2 linked regions of the Diceros bicornis minor genome follow. The protein of the gene in region 2 interacts with the protein of the main gene of each other region in a pairwise test. Links are inferred from orthologs where the notes say so. Each region holds a gene or a part of one and is shown on either strand. Other genes may lie near its edges.

Region 1 (7,894 bases), on a different chromosome or scaffold from region 2:
TCACTTTTCTCTGCTTTCATACCACACCCCTCCTTTTCCACCACCCCAAGGAAAAGTGGCTTCCCCTCCCCCAAAGAAAGACTTGCCTTCACAGTAAATTTAGAAAAGAGAAAAGGCGGATAGATGGACTCCACAGTAAAAACAAAACAAAAAAACTTTGAAGATCAGGGGATACAAAACGATAAACAGCAAAGAAAGGCCAAACACTTAGCAGGCATTAATTTCCCCAAATGCAGATGCATGTGTGTTTAAAATACACTCAGCTTAGCTGGTTAAACTCATATTGAGAGAGGATTCAGAAAACCAGAGTGAGAATAAAGGAAACGTGTATGTGTGTGACAACAGTATGTAGAACGAGGTGGAGGAAAAGCGGGAAACTAGTAGAATGTACACTTCTGGAAGCCGAGCCCGTCTCATTTTTGTATTCCATCAGAACAAGGCACATGGCATGGTAGATGTTTAACAACATTGGCTGACGGAGCAAGAAAACACTGTTTCCCAAACGATCTTAAGAACCACGTAGGGCACGTACTATGAACGCAGATTTGCAGACCCTGGACCAGAGATACTGAATCAGAATCTCTAGGGTAGGGTCCTGGAGAGACTATGAACAAGCCCCTCAAGTGTTTCTTATGCACAGGCAAGTTTGGAGAACAACGATATAAGCAAAAGGTGACCTACAATGATCACTGGGATGAGCTGAGGTCTCTAGGTCCTGAAATGTGAATTCTGAATGAATTATTATCCCACTAAATACTGCTCTATACCCCTTCAAAAAATGCTAGGCAGGAGGCAAGAATATAACTCAAGATTCCTAGTGTCAGGAAAAAAGGATGTGGAAGGAGTATTATAACGACTATCACAGCTCAAGCTGCCTGGAAACTTCCTGCCCACTTGTGACCCTTTTGGAAGGATGCTGGTCGAAGATGACTCCAGTAGTAGAACACACTCGACACTAGGCATTGGGCTATCCAGAGAGATCATCTTCCAAGATTTGGTTGCACTGTATGGGGCAGAGTGTCCAGCATCCAACAGACAACCCGAAAGTCTGGCACAGCAGACTTCCCATTAGGCAAGGAGACAGGAGACCCACGCTCCACAACTCACTGGCCATTTATTTTGGAGTAAGGTCACTTGGGACTAGGCTATCTAACCTGCAAATGGGGTGGAGGAAGGGTGGAGGGCAGAGGGGGTAGATTAGGAGGTCTCTACCGTCTCTTCAAGCTCTAAAATACGGTGCTCCTGCTCCCAGTCCCTAGTGTGTCTTTTTCCTACCCCTTTGCTAGCCTCATACTCACAGACACTTGGAGGATAAGATAATCCAGCTGCTTGGGATCATAAAAATGACCATTCAGAGTCAGACCCATGAAACACTAAGTCCAGTGTCCTGACAGTGTCCCCAGAGGATGGTCTCTGAGTCCTTAACAAATGCTTCCTTTCTTTCCAGCCCAAATAGATTTCCTGCAACAAAAAGGTTCTAGTAAATTTCAGAACTAGGTTTCAGAATGAGATGTTGCAGAATTAGCAGTGAACACAAACTTTTTTTTAAAGCTGTGCTACTAGATTTAAAAGACTAGAGGAGAAGGAATAGCCATGTCTCTTGAAGGCACAAACTTCTGTAGTAACAGAAAGGTGTAGAGAGACAAGTACAAACCTCAACAAGCCAGCCCCCTCCCCTCTGCTGAGTTTCTGGCAGCGGCCCACCCACGAGAAGTGGTTTCTGGACCCCCTCCCCCAACTCTGCTGAGTTAGCTGCGATTTTTCACTTGTGCCCCTGCCTGTGCCCAGGGTAGGCACTGCCCAACACTTTTCTGAGCAGAGAAAATCCAGAGCTCAAGGCTGGAACCCTTACCCGGATTAAAGAGCACGGTCCCCTTGAGGTAGGCGTACTCCTTGGTACTGATGTCCAGGCTCCAGCACCTGGCAAGGAAGCCCTTGATGGCTTGGACCTGGGCGGCCGACAGCAAATGCCCGGCCTCTGGCGGCGGTACCAAGTGTGGCTGCAGCGTGGCCAGGGGCGGCGGCTCCTCGCTCGCGGTCTCCCGCCGCCTGGTGGTGAGAATCCTCTGCAGCAGGCTGGGCTCTGAGGTCTCCACTGTCTCGAAGTTCAAGCGGTCCTGGGCCAGCTCCAGCATGAGCAGCGGCGCCCAGCAGCTGCGCGCCAGCACCAGCTGCTGGTCCAAGGGCAGCACCTGGAAGCAGGGTAAGTACTTGACGAAGCGCATCGTCTTCAACAGGCCCGCGGAGGCTGCCTCGCAGACCACCTGTGGACTCTTGAGGGCCATTCGCCGCTGCGCGCCACAGAAAGGGTCCCACCAGGGGGCCCCCTGCTCCGCCTCAGGAGCCGCGTGCGTTTGCTTTGCGTTCGTGGGCATGTTGTAGAGAATGCTGCCCTGCCGCGGGTGGTCTTCATCGTAAAAGCCGCAGCGGTACAGGAGCGCCACTGCTCTCCCTTCCGGCAGCTCCTCTCTGCCCACCAGCCTCTGCGCGCAGTAGGAACGGTCCCACCGCACGTCCCTCGGCCGCGCCTCGGGAGCTTCCGGAGCCACGTGCGTTTGCTTTGCGCTGGTGAGCAAGCTGTAGAGGATGCTACCCTGCCGTGGGTGGTCTTCACCGCAAAAGCAGCAGCGGTACAGGAGCGCCATGGGACGCCCACCCGGCAGTCCCTCTCTGCCCACTGGGGGCTCCGCGCCGCACGAGCAACCCCAGCACGAGCCCTCCCTCCGTGCCTTGGGCGCCTCTGGAGCCTCATGCATTTGCTTTGCGCTCGTGAGCATGTTGTAGAGGATGCTGCCCTGCCGCGGGTGGTCTTCACCGCAAAAGCAGCAGCGGTACAGGAGCACCACTGCCCGCCCACCCGGCAGCCCCTGTCTGCCCACCGGGGGCTCCGCGCCGCAGGAGCAGCCCCAGCACGGGCTCCTCAGTTGCGCCTCGGGAGCCTCTGGAGCCGCGTGCGTTTGCTTCGCGCTCATGAGCATGTTGTAGAGGATGCTGCCCTGCCACTGGTGGTCCTCACCCGCCATGGCCAGCGGTGCCGGCAGCCTGGCTCTGTCCAGTGGCCGCCGCTTGGGATTTATTTATACCGAGCGCGCACGCACGCGCGTCGGCTGTCTCTGGCTGGGCAAGGGCGCGCGGAGGGGGGCGCGGCGCTGCGCTCCGGCGTATTTGTCCGTGACCTCGGCGGTTCAGAAGGAGCAGGTGCTCCTTAAAGGTTGGAAATGAAAGAGGAACGAAGGCATGGGAGCTCTTGGACACTTCCCTCCTTCCTCTCTTTACACCCTTCCCTGCCTCTGGAAGACTGAGAGCAGAGCTCAGGGAGCAGGTATTTGGGGCACTGTTCCAACTCTTGCCATTGAACCCTGGCATCTAATTTGCCTCCTTTATTGGAAGGGCAGAGGTGCCTAAAAAGGAAAAAGTCTATTTCTATGCCATCTTTGCAAACTTTCATTAAATGATCAAACTTTGTATGACATATTTTATATATGGATGGAGAGATCTCATTTTCAGGGACCTTGAAAAATATAAACTATGGACTAGCAGTATCAGCATCATATGGGAACTTGGTAGAAATGCTCAATTTCAGGCCCCAACTAGACTCGCTGACTCTGAATCTGCATTTTAACAAGCACCCCCCCCAGGGGATTGGCCTGCACCTTAAATTTTGAAAAGCGCTGATCTAAAGATGCTATCATAAGCGTTTTGTTTAATGCAATTAATATTTTTGAGCCCCCACTCTGTCCTGGATGCTGTGTTAGAGAGCTGGGGGCAGTGACCAGGACATAAAAGTGGCTAATATTTGGGAATATAATAATCACAAGGGGCTAAACGGTTGTTCCAGTGAAAACTTTGTATTCTTCTAGAAGTATTGCATTGGATAGATGTGTAATTAGCATTTCTTCTCCCACCCTTCCTAAATGAATAATGAGAAACATAGGTTTCAGGAAACCTGGATCCTTTGGTCCTCACTTGCCACACAGCCTCCTTTCTCATTTTACAAAGGCACTGAGATCAGTGGGTCTCCCACATCACCACGTGCCCCTTGTGTAACTAGCAGATTATTTCACCAGCCAGCTGGGTAACTTCAAAATCACAACCCTTTAGTCCTCAAATTCCTCACCTCTAAAATAGAAGGTTTCCTTTGTGATCTCTTGGGTCCAGGACTGAAGACATAGAGAAGGGGACCTGTATAAACTAGCTGGTGTAGGATCCCCTTTCTCATGTTTTAATTTCTCTGGGACGTGGAATTCTGAGTATAAGAGGAAAACCTAGGAGACACTTATTTTGCATTCAACCTGAAATTTTATTCTTTCTGTGAGAGGCCCAATAACACAGTGGTTAAACTTCTGGCCCTGGCACCAGATTGCCTCAATTTTAATTCTGGCCCTGACACTCTGTAGCTCCGTGACCTTGGGCGATGTATTAGTTTCCTATTGCTGCTATAACAAATTACCACAAATTTAGTGGCTTAAGGCAACACAAATTTATTATGTTACAGTTCTGGAGGCCAGAAGTCTGAAATCAGTTTCACTGGCCTGAAATCAAGGTAAAATTCCTTCTGGAAGCTCTAGGAGAGAATCTATTTCCTTGCCTTTTCCAGCCTCTAGAAGCTGCCTGCATTCCTGGGCTCCTGGCCGTATCACTCTGACCTCTGCTTCCATCTCCTTTCTGACTTGTTTAAGGATCTTTATAATTACATTGGGCAAACCCAGATAATCCAGAATAATCTCCCCATCTCAAAATTCTTAATTAAATCACATCTGCAAAGTCCATTTTACCATGAAAGATAACATATTCACAGGTTCTGAGGGTTAGGACATGGACATCATTGGGCGGCATTATTTAGCCTTTCACAGAAAAGTTACTTAAGCCACCTGTGCCTCAGTTTCCTTATTTGTAAAATGTGGACAATAATCTCTGTGAGGTAATCCTCATACATGAGTTAATGCATGTAAAATGTTTGTTTGGTACACGATAAGTGTTGGATGTATCAACTCTTATCCCCCCCCTTTTTAAGATAACATGTGATAACTTCAGGGTTAGGAGTTGATGCTAGACCAGCACCACCATTATTCTCTCTCTGCCAGGGAAGCCCACCCTATCCCTCCACCCAGAAGTTGTCTCATTTTTTTTCTGCATGTCCACATTTCTTAGACCAGACTCAAAACACTGGATGGGCCATCTGGTCCACAACAGTAATATGTATTAGAAATGTTACCTCATTGTCCATTTCATCATTTGCCATTTCCAATATTCAAGCTACTCTTTGGGTATTGTTATTGCTACTTCAGCAATCTTCGTGCTTGATGCATCCACCAACCAGCCTAGCTGAAAAACCCAGCCTACCTCAGCCCCCACCTTAAGTTGCCAGTGCTAGTTACTTTTTATGTTACCCCATTTTATTTTCTTCCTATCACTTATCAGAGCTGATATGATTGATGTATTTAGTTATTTGATGCTTGTTGATTGTCTCCCTCAACTAGTATAAAAGTCCCTTGAGGGCAAGGAATTGGTCACTCTGTGTCCCAGCAACTAGGACAGTGTCTGGCATACAGTAGGTGCTCAAAAATATATTTGTTGGCCAACTGTGCCTTTAGAGAAAGAGGAGAAGGGTGTATCTTCTGCTCTCAACACACAGGACACTATTGCTGTGCTGATCCTGGCAGAAGGAGGAGTTAGCAGGCCCTGTTGGACTCAGAGCTTTCTGGAGGCCTTTTGTGATATTCAGAGTGCTGCAGGCACTGTGATTAAGTAACAAGAGAATTGAGTTAACAGTCAAAAGACATGGCTTTGGATTTGGGCTCTTCTACTCTAAACATATAACATTGAACAAGTCATTTAACTTCAGCCTTCACACTTGTGAAATGGGGAAAAATTCTATATAACAATATTAATACATCCACCCTGTTCTAAGTCCTTCAAGGGTTATTATTATTTTTTTCTCTCAATATGGGCCTTTACAGAAACGTTTGCTGACCTCTTCACTATATCAAAAATATAAAGTAACTTAAGTTTACACTCGTTCACTTTCTAATGATTTAGCATTGAACAAGGCATTTAATATTATGTTAGCCTTTTCAGCTATGAAACCAGAAAAAAATGCCATAGACTATTTTAATATATGTACCCTAGCCCTATATAATTTAAAGGTTTTTCTAAAACTCTTTCATCTTATCAAGTATATTTTTTAAAATCCTAGTAACAACCCATTTTTTGTGACTTTAATCATTCACACCTCACACCTATTTGATGTCTTTGACTTTCAGGCATTGTCTCAAAATGAAATTTCAGTACGGTGCTGAGAACCATGAACTTGTAATATATTGGTTATAATTCCTGTTCTTTCCCAGGAGCAGAATCTCCTGATTTTCTTACTTGTGTTTTTCTTGAAGTTGTGACTTTCTGTTCATAACTCTGAGGACTTCCCAGCTTCTTTGGATTGACTGTTTCTAAGGAGAGCTTGCCTGTTTGTCCTTCGCAAGTATTCATCCTTGGAACTGTCAGGAGAAAACTGACTTCATCTTTCCCCTTTCCATTTTTTCCCTGAACAGATAGCTCCTGAGAAACAAAATCATCCAAACACAGCAGTGCAGAGCTTTGCACCAAGCAATGCCAGCCTGCTGGTTGCTACAGGATTAGTGAAGACGTAACCTTCTAAGGCAGGCATAGCTTCTTCATTTGATTTGTCCCATGTCCTTAGACCACTGTGACAGCAAGACAAAAGGACACTCATCAACTGCACCTGTCATATGCTGAGTTTGTCCACAACTGCAATTTGGATATTTACACTGAGTCATTGTTCGATGACCTTGGTCAGTTGGACACCTGCTCTGCGGAATCCATTATCTGTTCTAACTCAGGGTGGGAGTAAAGCAGCTCTGCCTGCCTGAATGCAACCTTCAACTTCAAAGTAATGCAGTTTTCTCTAAAGGATGTAGGAGTGAAGTACAGGTGGGGAGAAAGCCGGGTAAAATTGTAAAACTAACCTTTGCACAGCAAGATGCTCTTGACCTGGAAAGGCGTGATGATCTGAAACCTGATACGAATTCTCAATCGAGGCTTAAAAGAGCTGCAATGCCTCAGAATTCAGTTCCTTTAGTAAATAGGTGACAGGGAGTAACAATAGTGTTTTCCTTATTTTTCAAGGTAAATATTGGGTAAACACTATTATAGAAGAGTAGTGGCTGATAAAATCCAAGAGATAGTCTCCCTATTTTTCCTTTCCAAGACCCAGAATGTTTAAAGCTCTATTTATGTAAGAATTAATAAGCTTTAGCTGCTGACTCATGAAACCCCTAAAGATCAAGTCATCATTATTTATTTCCTTCAGATGAGCTACAAAGAAGGCAATCACCTGCCTTAGAGGTCACATAGTTGCTGAAATGGAATAAGGACTCATACTCATGGTAATTCTGAAATGTTCTAAAATCAACTTTCCAAATCAGTCAACCACTCTGTTCAAGGAAAAATGTTCATCAAATCAATTTATTTTACTGCATCTACCAATTTTGAATCCATCCCAGTACCAGATGTTGATCAAATTATCTAATTAATAAATTCAGTGGACTGACAGGTTTAAAAATGGTTATCCCATTGGTTGACAAACAATTAGAATTGATTTGACGGGTGAGTTTGAAAATCATTGCTGCATTGATCCGCATAGCTATGTCCCCTAATGGTGATGGTAATTTTAGCTACAGACTCCTCCTGTATCAGGATCTGGAACTGTTATACTATCTTCCTCCCAGGAAATTGCTTTCTTTTCCCGTCCAACTTTGCTTAGCAGTGTACTTCCCACAATGATTATATCTAGAGGACCTTGTACATTGCCTGGCATATTAAAGACCCTCAACAAACACCTGCTTAATGAAACAATGAGTGAAAAGTTTCTTCCTCA
Region 2 (8,020 bases):
AGAAATCCTCTGAAAACCACACCTACACCACCTACCTTTAAGGCTTCAGGTGTTTTCAACAGATTTATAGAGACGAAACAGGAAGAAAAGTAATATGAGCTCCAAGTCTGGAGTTTAAGTATCCTTTCTTAGAAAAATAAACTTAAAGTGTCTGTTCATAGTTCTCAAATAATATCACATTTAAAGAGACTTGGGCAAGCTCCTATTTTTTTTAAAAAATTGCATCCACTCTGATTTAGGCTTTTTGCTGTTGTTGTTACTGTATAAATTTTTCCTTCCTTCCTATTTTTATCCCATATATTTTTTATATTATAATATTACTTTTGGATAGTTGTATTTCAATTTACTCTAGCTTTTCATCAGGCGAGATGAAGCAGAGAAAAATATTCAAAACTCTGAACCAGAAAGAGTGGACCAGACAAAATGAAACTTGCATAGTTCCAAACAGGAACCTTAAAACATAAATCTGTTTAATTTTCAATGTCTGGATTTCAGGGATCGGGCTGAAATTTACTAAACTGTTCCCTCCTCGCCCTGCCTGTTTTGGAGTGTTTCAATTGCCTTTCCTTCTTCCAACAGCTGTGACAACTGTTAAAACAGTCAGTAAAATTAAGTCCGCTCTATAATCCTGTAGTCAATGTTACATTTTAATCAGAGGTTGAAAGGGACTCATGTGACAAGCACGCTCATTTAGAATGATTAGACTGACACATATGTCAAAATGAGCAGATATATTATTTTCGTCTATTTATGCTATCAGTTATTACTGCTATTAAATGTGAAACAAGCTTGCAAGTATTATGTTCTTTAATATGCTGGCACATCTAAAATAAAAAATACATAGTTACAGGTTAACATTTTAGGCTCTCCTAATGGTGGTCAATAAATTGCACGAATCTTTTTAACAGCCTCGGAAGCAGAAATTGTCCGATATTTTCCTCTGAAACTGCATAACTCTGGTTTCGTTTCCATGTATACACAGACACGTGATGGGGTTTAACCCAGTACAATTACTATAAATATTAATAGCATGTATAAATTCTGTGGTTTATTAATTGAGACAGAAAGGCAGATGCGTTGCTTAGCATTAGATCTTTCTGTCTGTCCAGTGAACCACGTAACCATCAGAACTGCATCCAGACAATAAATCCGTATTTTTTAAAGATGACTTTTAATTGAGCCAAAAAGAAAGCTACTTTGAATCTTGCGCCAAAGCCAAAAGGACATGTGCCCTGATTTCATTTCAACGCATCTGCTTTAAGAGGCTTATCTAAATTATTCAAATTGGCTATAAGAAGTTCAATTCAAGGAAACTACTTTTAAAAGAAGCCTCCAGGGGATTTTTAAAGTTTGTTTTGTTTATTTATTTACAAGAGAAAGTTCAGAATCTGGGTGAGCTTGGATAATGCATTCCTCCTGACATGAAGACATTTTAAACTCTCCAGTACTACAGTTCCAGGTGCACTAACCTTTAAACTACACTCAAGTGAGCAGTTCTACCTTTGTTTATATTTCATTTTTATTTTCACACAATTTAAGTTTGTTTCTTCCTTTGCGTGTTTTAAACTGATGCAGGCACAGCCTTTCAATCTTTCAGTTTCTCCTAAGTCCATCTCTTGGTTAATATCTCTTGTGTGAGTGTGTATGTGTGTGAGAGCATGCATACATATATATACACACACACACTCTCTCACACACGAGCAGCCACTGAGACGGCAAGCCACTTTCTTCCCTTACTTAATTACAAAGCAATGCAATATGCAGTCACTAAGGGCAGCTAGTGGCCATCTACCTCTAATGCACGACCTCGTCTTCTAGAGTTTTATATTTTCTCCACAATCTATAGAGAGAAACGTTTGCCAAGAGCACTCTTTTCAGAATTATAACAGTTGGTATTACCGTAATGTGAAAGCAAAGCAATATAACTGACTCAACAGAAAGATGAACCAGTGACAGCTCCCGTGATATACTAATATTTTATCTTAACAGTGGGTTGAAATTAAGTTTACGACCTCTTCATTTACACAAGAATGCCTAATTTACTTCTCCTACCCCCTACTCACTTCTCTCTCACCTTGAGTAATCCAAATATATATATATATATATATATGTTTCCATGTGCATAAAGATATTCACAAATATGAATTAAACTGCATTTAAGAACAAAAGTACTTTTCTAGATTTTCTGGACACGATACATGAAATAAATCCACAATCTCAGCATTGTCTATTCAAGGGGAAATTTTAAAAGTCACTGCTGTTTTATCTTTAGTTTTTTCTCTCCTTAAATATTTATAATGTGTGAAAATCTCATGTTACTTAATGGACTGATTTGTCAGTTAAGTGCTGACTTAACGCTAACCATGCAAATAACATTATTCTAGCCCTGAAATGCAGAGGGCTAGTTTTTAAATTGTTCTCCGAAGGAGAATTAGTAAATGTGCAATTTTGCCTCTAACTCTGCGCGGTCAGAAATGACAGGGAGCTGGAAATATCTGTCAAACTGCAAATACATAAGAGGCACTCAATACGATAAATCATTTTGAATATTGTATTTTAAAACATCTTTCCTTGGGAAAATGGGTCCTAGTAAAAGATGCGTTTTAACAGTTCACTAAGCATTTGTGCCAAGTGCCTATTCTTAGCACCTGAATAAGAAGTGACTGTCACACAGCTGTTTTACCGACAGCCAACTGAGCTTCGACTCAAAGGTAACACTGTAGTCAGAGAACAATTCTCGACTTGCTGAATTAGGAGCTCACCCTCCACACAAAAGGCACAAGACAGACACAAACAAGCACTCGTGCACGCAACACACCCGGGGCATTACCTGAATCAGTGTGCAAAGACACCTTCTGTCTACCCCCACGCACGCACCCCCACGACGAGTTTCAAAAGGAAAGAAAAAGGTACCTACTCTTCCTCGTAGTGCAGGGAAAAAGATTCAGGAAGGCAAAGTTCTACCGAATCCATGTGCGACCGGCAACCATTATTTGTGCACCCCAGCTATAAATCAAAGTTTCCTTGACAGAGCACAGTGCAATTAACACAAATGTTCTCCTAGTGACAAGCCTATAGGCACGGCCAGTTGGGACCAAAGCTCTCACACTCTCCTAATCAAGGACTTAAAGCCCCGATTGGAGCTTATTAATATGAAGTAGGGCTTTACATATGCAGTCCCACCGGCCCAGGCGCGCAGCCGATTGGGGGGCCTCTGCCCAATCAGGAGGGAGGCGACGGGAGGCTGCACCGAGCGAGCGAGCCAGGCAGGTAGCAAGGGTGCACAGAGGGAAGGGGGCTGAAAACTGGGAGTGGGAGAGAAACAGAGAGCGAGGACGAGGGAGATTGCAACGCTCCCATTAGAGACTGTTTTTTCTTTTCTTTTTTTTTTTTCCCTCGGAAGCTACCAAAGAAACATAACTAACTTAACTCTCTAAGCACTGGAGGGATTTTTCTTTGCTTTCTAACCTAAGATCTCTTTTGCCTGGCAAAGAAGAACTCACGCAGACTCTCAGTTAATTTGGGAAAGGATTCTGCGGAAGGTAGAGAATTAAGTTTGTCCAGCCGTTGTCTGTTTTATTCCACTGGGGGCTGCTTCTGGTGTAGTGAGGTGCTTTCTCGTTTATTCGTACTCGTGTCTTTTCCTGTTTTCCTGATGTATCCCGGGCATTTTAGAAATCAAAGACGTTCTTCCAAATGCTTCGGGCATAGGAACTGGGATCGTCATCCCTGAGGTGGAATGCAGTTTTACACAACTACGGAAGAGGAAATAGTGCATCAGGACAATTTGAGAAAATGCCCATGTAAATTACACGTGTAAATATTTCTTTACCTGCTGCTGTCTCTCTACATATCGATAGACAATGCATAGCTTTTCAAAACAAACGTAAACAACTGTAGGGCAAATTGGCTTTTTCAGCTTCAGAGGTGGGAGACCGGGGGCTGTGGGGTAAAAAGAACATTAAATCCATCTCAACGCATTTTGAAGGGAGAGCATTACTGAACAGTGCGCTGAAATGTTCTTAATCATATACTTATTTCAATACAAGCTTCCAAACTGGGAGACATATACAAATATATATGATTTTACCCAAAACATGAGCTTTCGAATAAAATGCAGTTTACATATTTGTTTCTACACGTAACACACCCTAAAGGCTTTAAAAAATCCACTCAGAAACAGTTTGTAAATCATCACACAGTCTGGTCATTATAAGGACTAGTTTCAAACAGATAATAATTTGCAAAACTAAGACTTAATCAAAAGTGTTGTTTTTAAAAAAAGAGGATCTAAGAAGAGAAGGGTGTTTTTCCTCCAATAGTATATAGCGTGCTTTTAGTTTCCATGTAACAGAGTTTTCTTAGGTCCACTTTAAAATACAGAATTTTTTATACTAGCAAATGGATATTGAAATAGATACAAGCTATTTATGGCAAAGAGATAAATGCTACCTTATGGAGAGTTGAAAGACCCACAGTTTTGATATAATTCAGCTCTACTGCTTACCAAGCTTTTGCATCTTGTCTTACAGACATAAATAGTATAATCTTTGAGATCAAAATAAATTAGTTCAGATATTTGGTGTGTGTTAAATTCACTAAATCAGAACCCAACTCTTTTTCTCAACCCTCTCAAATTCCGAGGTCTTTAAAAGACAAAACACTAAAACAGAACAGCCACATTAAAATTCAGAACATAAAAATGACAGACATGATGTGGTCCCCCCAAGAAGAGAGCAATTTCCCTGCCATGTATTTAGCCATATCTAAGATATTGGCCTGATTCTTTTTATTTGTGGTCTAAATGCAGACAAGTTAGTAGATGAGAACTCACATAGCAAAAACTGTGCCTGAGAATACTGTATAAAAGCAGGTAGTAAAAGCTTAATTACCAGTAGCATTATGCTGTCTATATTGTTAAATGTGAACTCTGCAATTAAGATGTAAATTTGGTTGTGAGCAGTGAATTAAAAGAGCTTTGAGATGTAGCAGAAAATCCAAGCCCCTGCAGACACCCGAAAAAAAGATTTGTCTATTCAATCTAAAATGAGACATGTAATCATTTGATAATTAAAAAAAATAAATAAAAAGGCATTTGAAAAAAGAAACATGATTTTTCTAAAATATGATAAAAGAAATGGGGAAGCTAATACTGCACTAGAAAGACAGGAAAATAGCTTTGGTTCAAAGATTACTCTCTTGATTTCTGAATAAACTAAAATTCTCAGGGCAATTAATAAATCCAATTGTACACATTTTTAAAAGATATACCAAAAAAAGTTTCCTTTTTATTTTGTCCAGAGACTTTTTTAAAAAAATAAAAATTATTTAATGTACTCAACACATCTTAATGTACTCAACACATTCAGATTTTGCACCTGTGCAGAATCATGTACTGTATTCAGTTTCTTTGCATTATCATGCTGTGACAGAACCCGTTTATTACTCCTTTGAAATGGCTTTTTAAAGACAAGATTTGTAGTCAATTATTTACCGATGGTCTTTAAGTCACTACATTTCATAGGAGTTATCTTTTATTTCCTGGAATTTTCTTATTTCCCTTTGGCTACTTATCTGACCCATTGTGAACCATTTGGTTTCATTGGTATATATTTCTAAACATATTTAGACTCATACTCGTGTAAGTCTTTTCTCTGTGCTCACAGAGATCCATGTACAAATACACAGTATAGTCTCCCCTCATCCTTCACTCACCATATTTCATCTATGCAATGTGCAGTGTCCACTAAGCTAGCTGCTTTCTGAATGACCAGAAGTGCACTAGGTTTGTAGAGCTGTATGTTGTCCTCTTGGGATCAATGTGTCACGTCTACAAGTCAAGGACCTAAGATTACACCTACTGTCTTGAATCCAGTTTAACCAATTTAAAATTTAAAATAATATCTACTGCACTAAACTCGTGAGACAGCTTCCAGAATATTCTATAAACACACAGCTTAGTTGTCTCCAGAATCTTTCCTAGTCACAGTTTTCTCACGTTGCAGGAGGAAAGAGTGGATAATCACAGGAAATAAACATGCCAGGAGCAATATTGAGCACAAACCTTTAAGAATCCCAACTGCAAAGGATTTGGGAAAAAATAAAACAAATAAATAGATAAACAGCTTAGAATAAATACATATTGCTAATCAGTCTATACACTTCACAATCTTACCACAAGGAGTCTACCCAAAGCAGGATAAATGAAACCAAACAAAAGAACTTCTGATCATTATTTCACAAAGAATATTAATACATTAGTTAGTATCAGTCTATTATACATCAGGTCCTGGGTATACACATAGTTCCAATCTCTTCTTTAAACAATGAGGTCACAAATACCCAAATGACTTCATTCTCAAACCTCAACTAAAGGCACAGACACTAAACAGAAAATATACATTTCCATTTGAAAGAACGAAATGGCAACAAACAAAACTCAAGTGAAAACAAACGGTAGATTCCTCTCGTCTATACCAGCAATTTTGTTGTATTTTCCTCAGAATCATTTCCTAAAACATTCTAACAAGGAATTCTTAGGTTGCTAAGAGAAATGCTTAGTCTTGCTAGTATTGCATATTAATAGCTATTTTACGTTCCCACCTTCCTTTTCTGAAAATTACGAGGACTAATCTGTATTAAAATTTTCCTAGTGGCCACACTATTTTTGAAGCAAATTTTGATTTTATATGGCACCTTTGCCATTTGTTAAATATTTAAAACTAAACAAGGTGTCGTCAAGTTAGATTTTCAAATTGCCTTGTAATCTACCTTTTCAGATCTTTCCTCAAGATCATAAAACCTTTGAAAAGCTGTTTAACTTTTTAAACCATCTTCCCTACTGTACTATCTTTAACTTCAAAAGAAAACCCCCAAAGAACATCCCTGGAGAAAGAATCTTGAAGGACACGCAGGAGGCCTGACCCCAGGCTCCCTTCTGCCCCTTCACGAGCTGTGTTGCCTTGAGCAGGTCTCCTCACCTCTCTGTCCCTGGTTTCCTCATCATTGGGATTTCTTCTATGCTATAAACCTCCTTAAGAACACACTTTTCCCACTGAGAACATGAAGACTTCTTTCGAAGTCAGTATGCCTATTTTATATTACCCCAAACCTCTATCAATCCATCATACCTCATTTTCTGTTGCCTTTCATTTCTAGGGCACAGGCTTTGATATTTAAATTATTGTCTCGATTGGCAAGAAGCAATCATTTCTCCGGAAAGTGATCGCTTCCACAGAAGTACTAATAAAAACCTTTCCTTTTCACAAACCTCTTGTCCTATAAATCCATCCTATTCCCAAATTACCGAATCCGTGTAAAAAAAAAGCCCATTCTCTGGGGAGCAATTAGCTCACTTCCATACACACCAAAGTCTTTTCCCAGTGTGTTTGTGAAAGTAGAAAAAAAAAAAAAATCAAAGGAAGACAGAGAAACTAATAGAGGCAATTCGGTTTCTGTTTAATTAATTCAGGATTATTTCACTTTCATTTTGTCAAGCTAATAATATACATGGGAAAATGTGAGTAAAAATTAAATTATAAACTACAGTAGCTCCAATGGGAAAACTGACTTTAGTTATGTTGTATTTCCAACATACTTACCCTGGTAAGATACCAAATGCCTTTTATAGTCTCCTACAAGCTTTCTATAATCTGCATGCCATGTATTTACAGAGCAATAGTTAACATTTTGAGATTATACGTTAATAAATGAGTTGCCGTTATATCCTTTCCTGAATGTTAAGCACCGAGAGCTCAACACAGAAAACATTCAAGGTCAATGTCCCGTTTTAGACCTTTTCAGGCAGCTGTAATATTATGATAATCAAGCTTAAAATATTCCTATAGAAAGAGTAAATTAGCCTTTTCACTTGAAAGATGATTATGATAAACAATAAACCTAAGAGAGGACAAAATCCCTATTTTTAAAAGCCATAAATTGTTGACTCAATCATGTGTGTGATAGTGTTATCCAAAATAAAGGGTAGCTTAACTCCAAGAGGAGGGCGGGGGGAGTAGTG

Evidence for each region.
Region 1: the proteins of ESRRG (region 2) and NR0B1 interact in binary tests that used the Homo sapiens proteins (3 or more experiments, as listed by UniProt). The link is inferred for Diceros bicornis minor from reciprocal best matches to the Homo sapiens genes ESRRG and NR0B1.

What each region holds. Positions count from the first base shown.
Region 1 is NC_080781.1:25,762,192-25,770,085, forward strand, and holds the start of NR0B1 (nuclear receptor subfamily 0 group B member 1), read right to left. Parts: upstream 3,024-7,894; coding exon 1,853-3,023; intron 1-1,852. UniProt on the Homo sapiens protein: Nuclear receptor that lacks a DNA-binding domain and acts as a corepressor that inhibits the transcriptional activity of other nuclear receptors through heterodimeric interactions.
Region 2 is NC_080777.1:16,076,589-16,084,608, reverse strand, and holds the start of ESRRG (estrogen-related receptor gamma), read right to left. Parts: upstream 3,093-8,020; 5' UTR 2,974-3,092; coding exon 2,918-2,973; intron 1-2,917. UniProt on the Homo sapiens protein: Orphan receptor that acts as a transcription activator in the absence of bound ligand. Binds specifically to an estrogen response element and activates reporter genes controlled by estrogen response elements.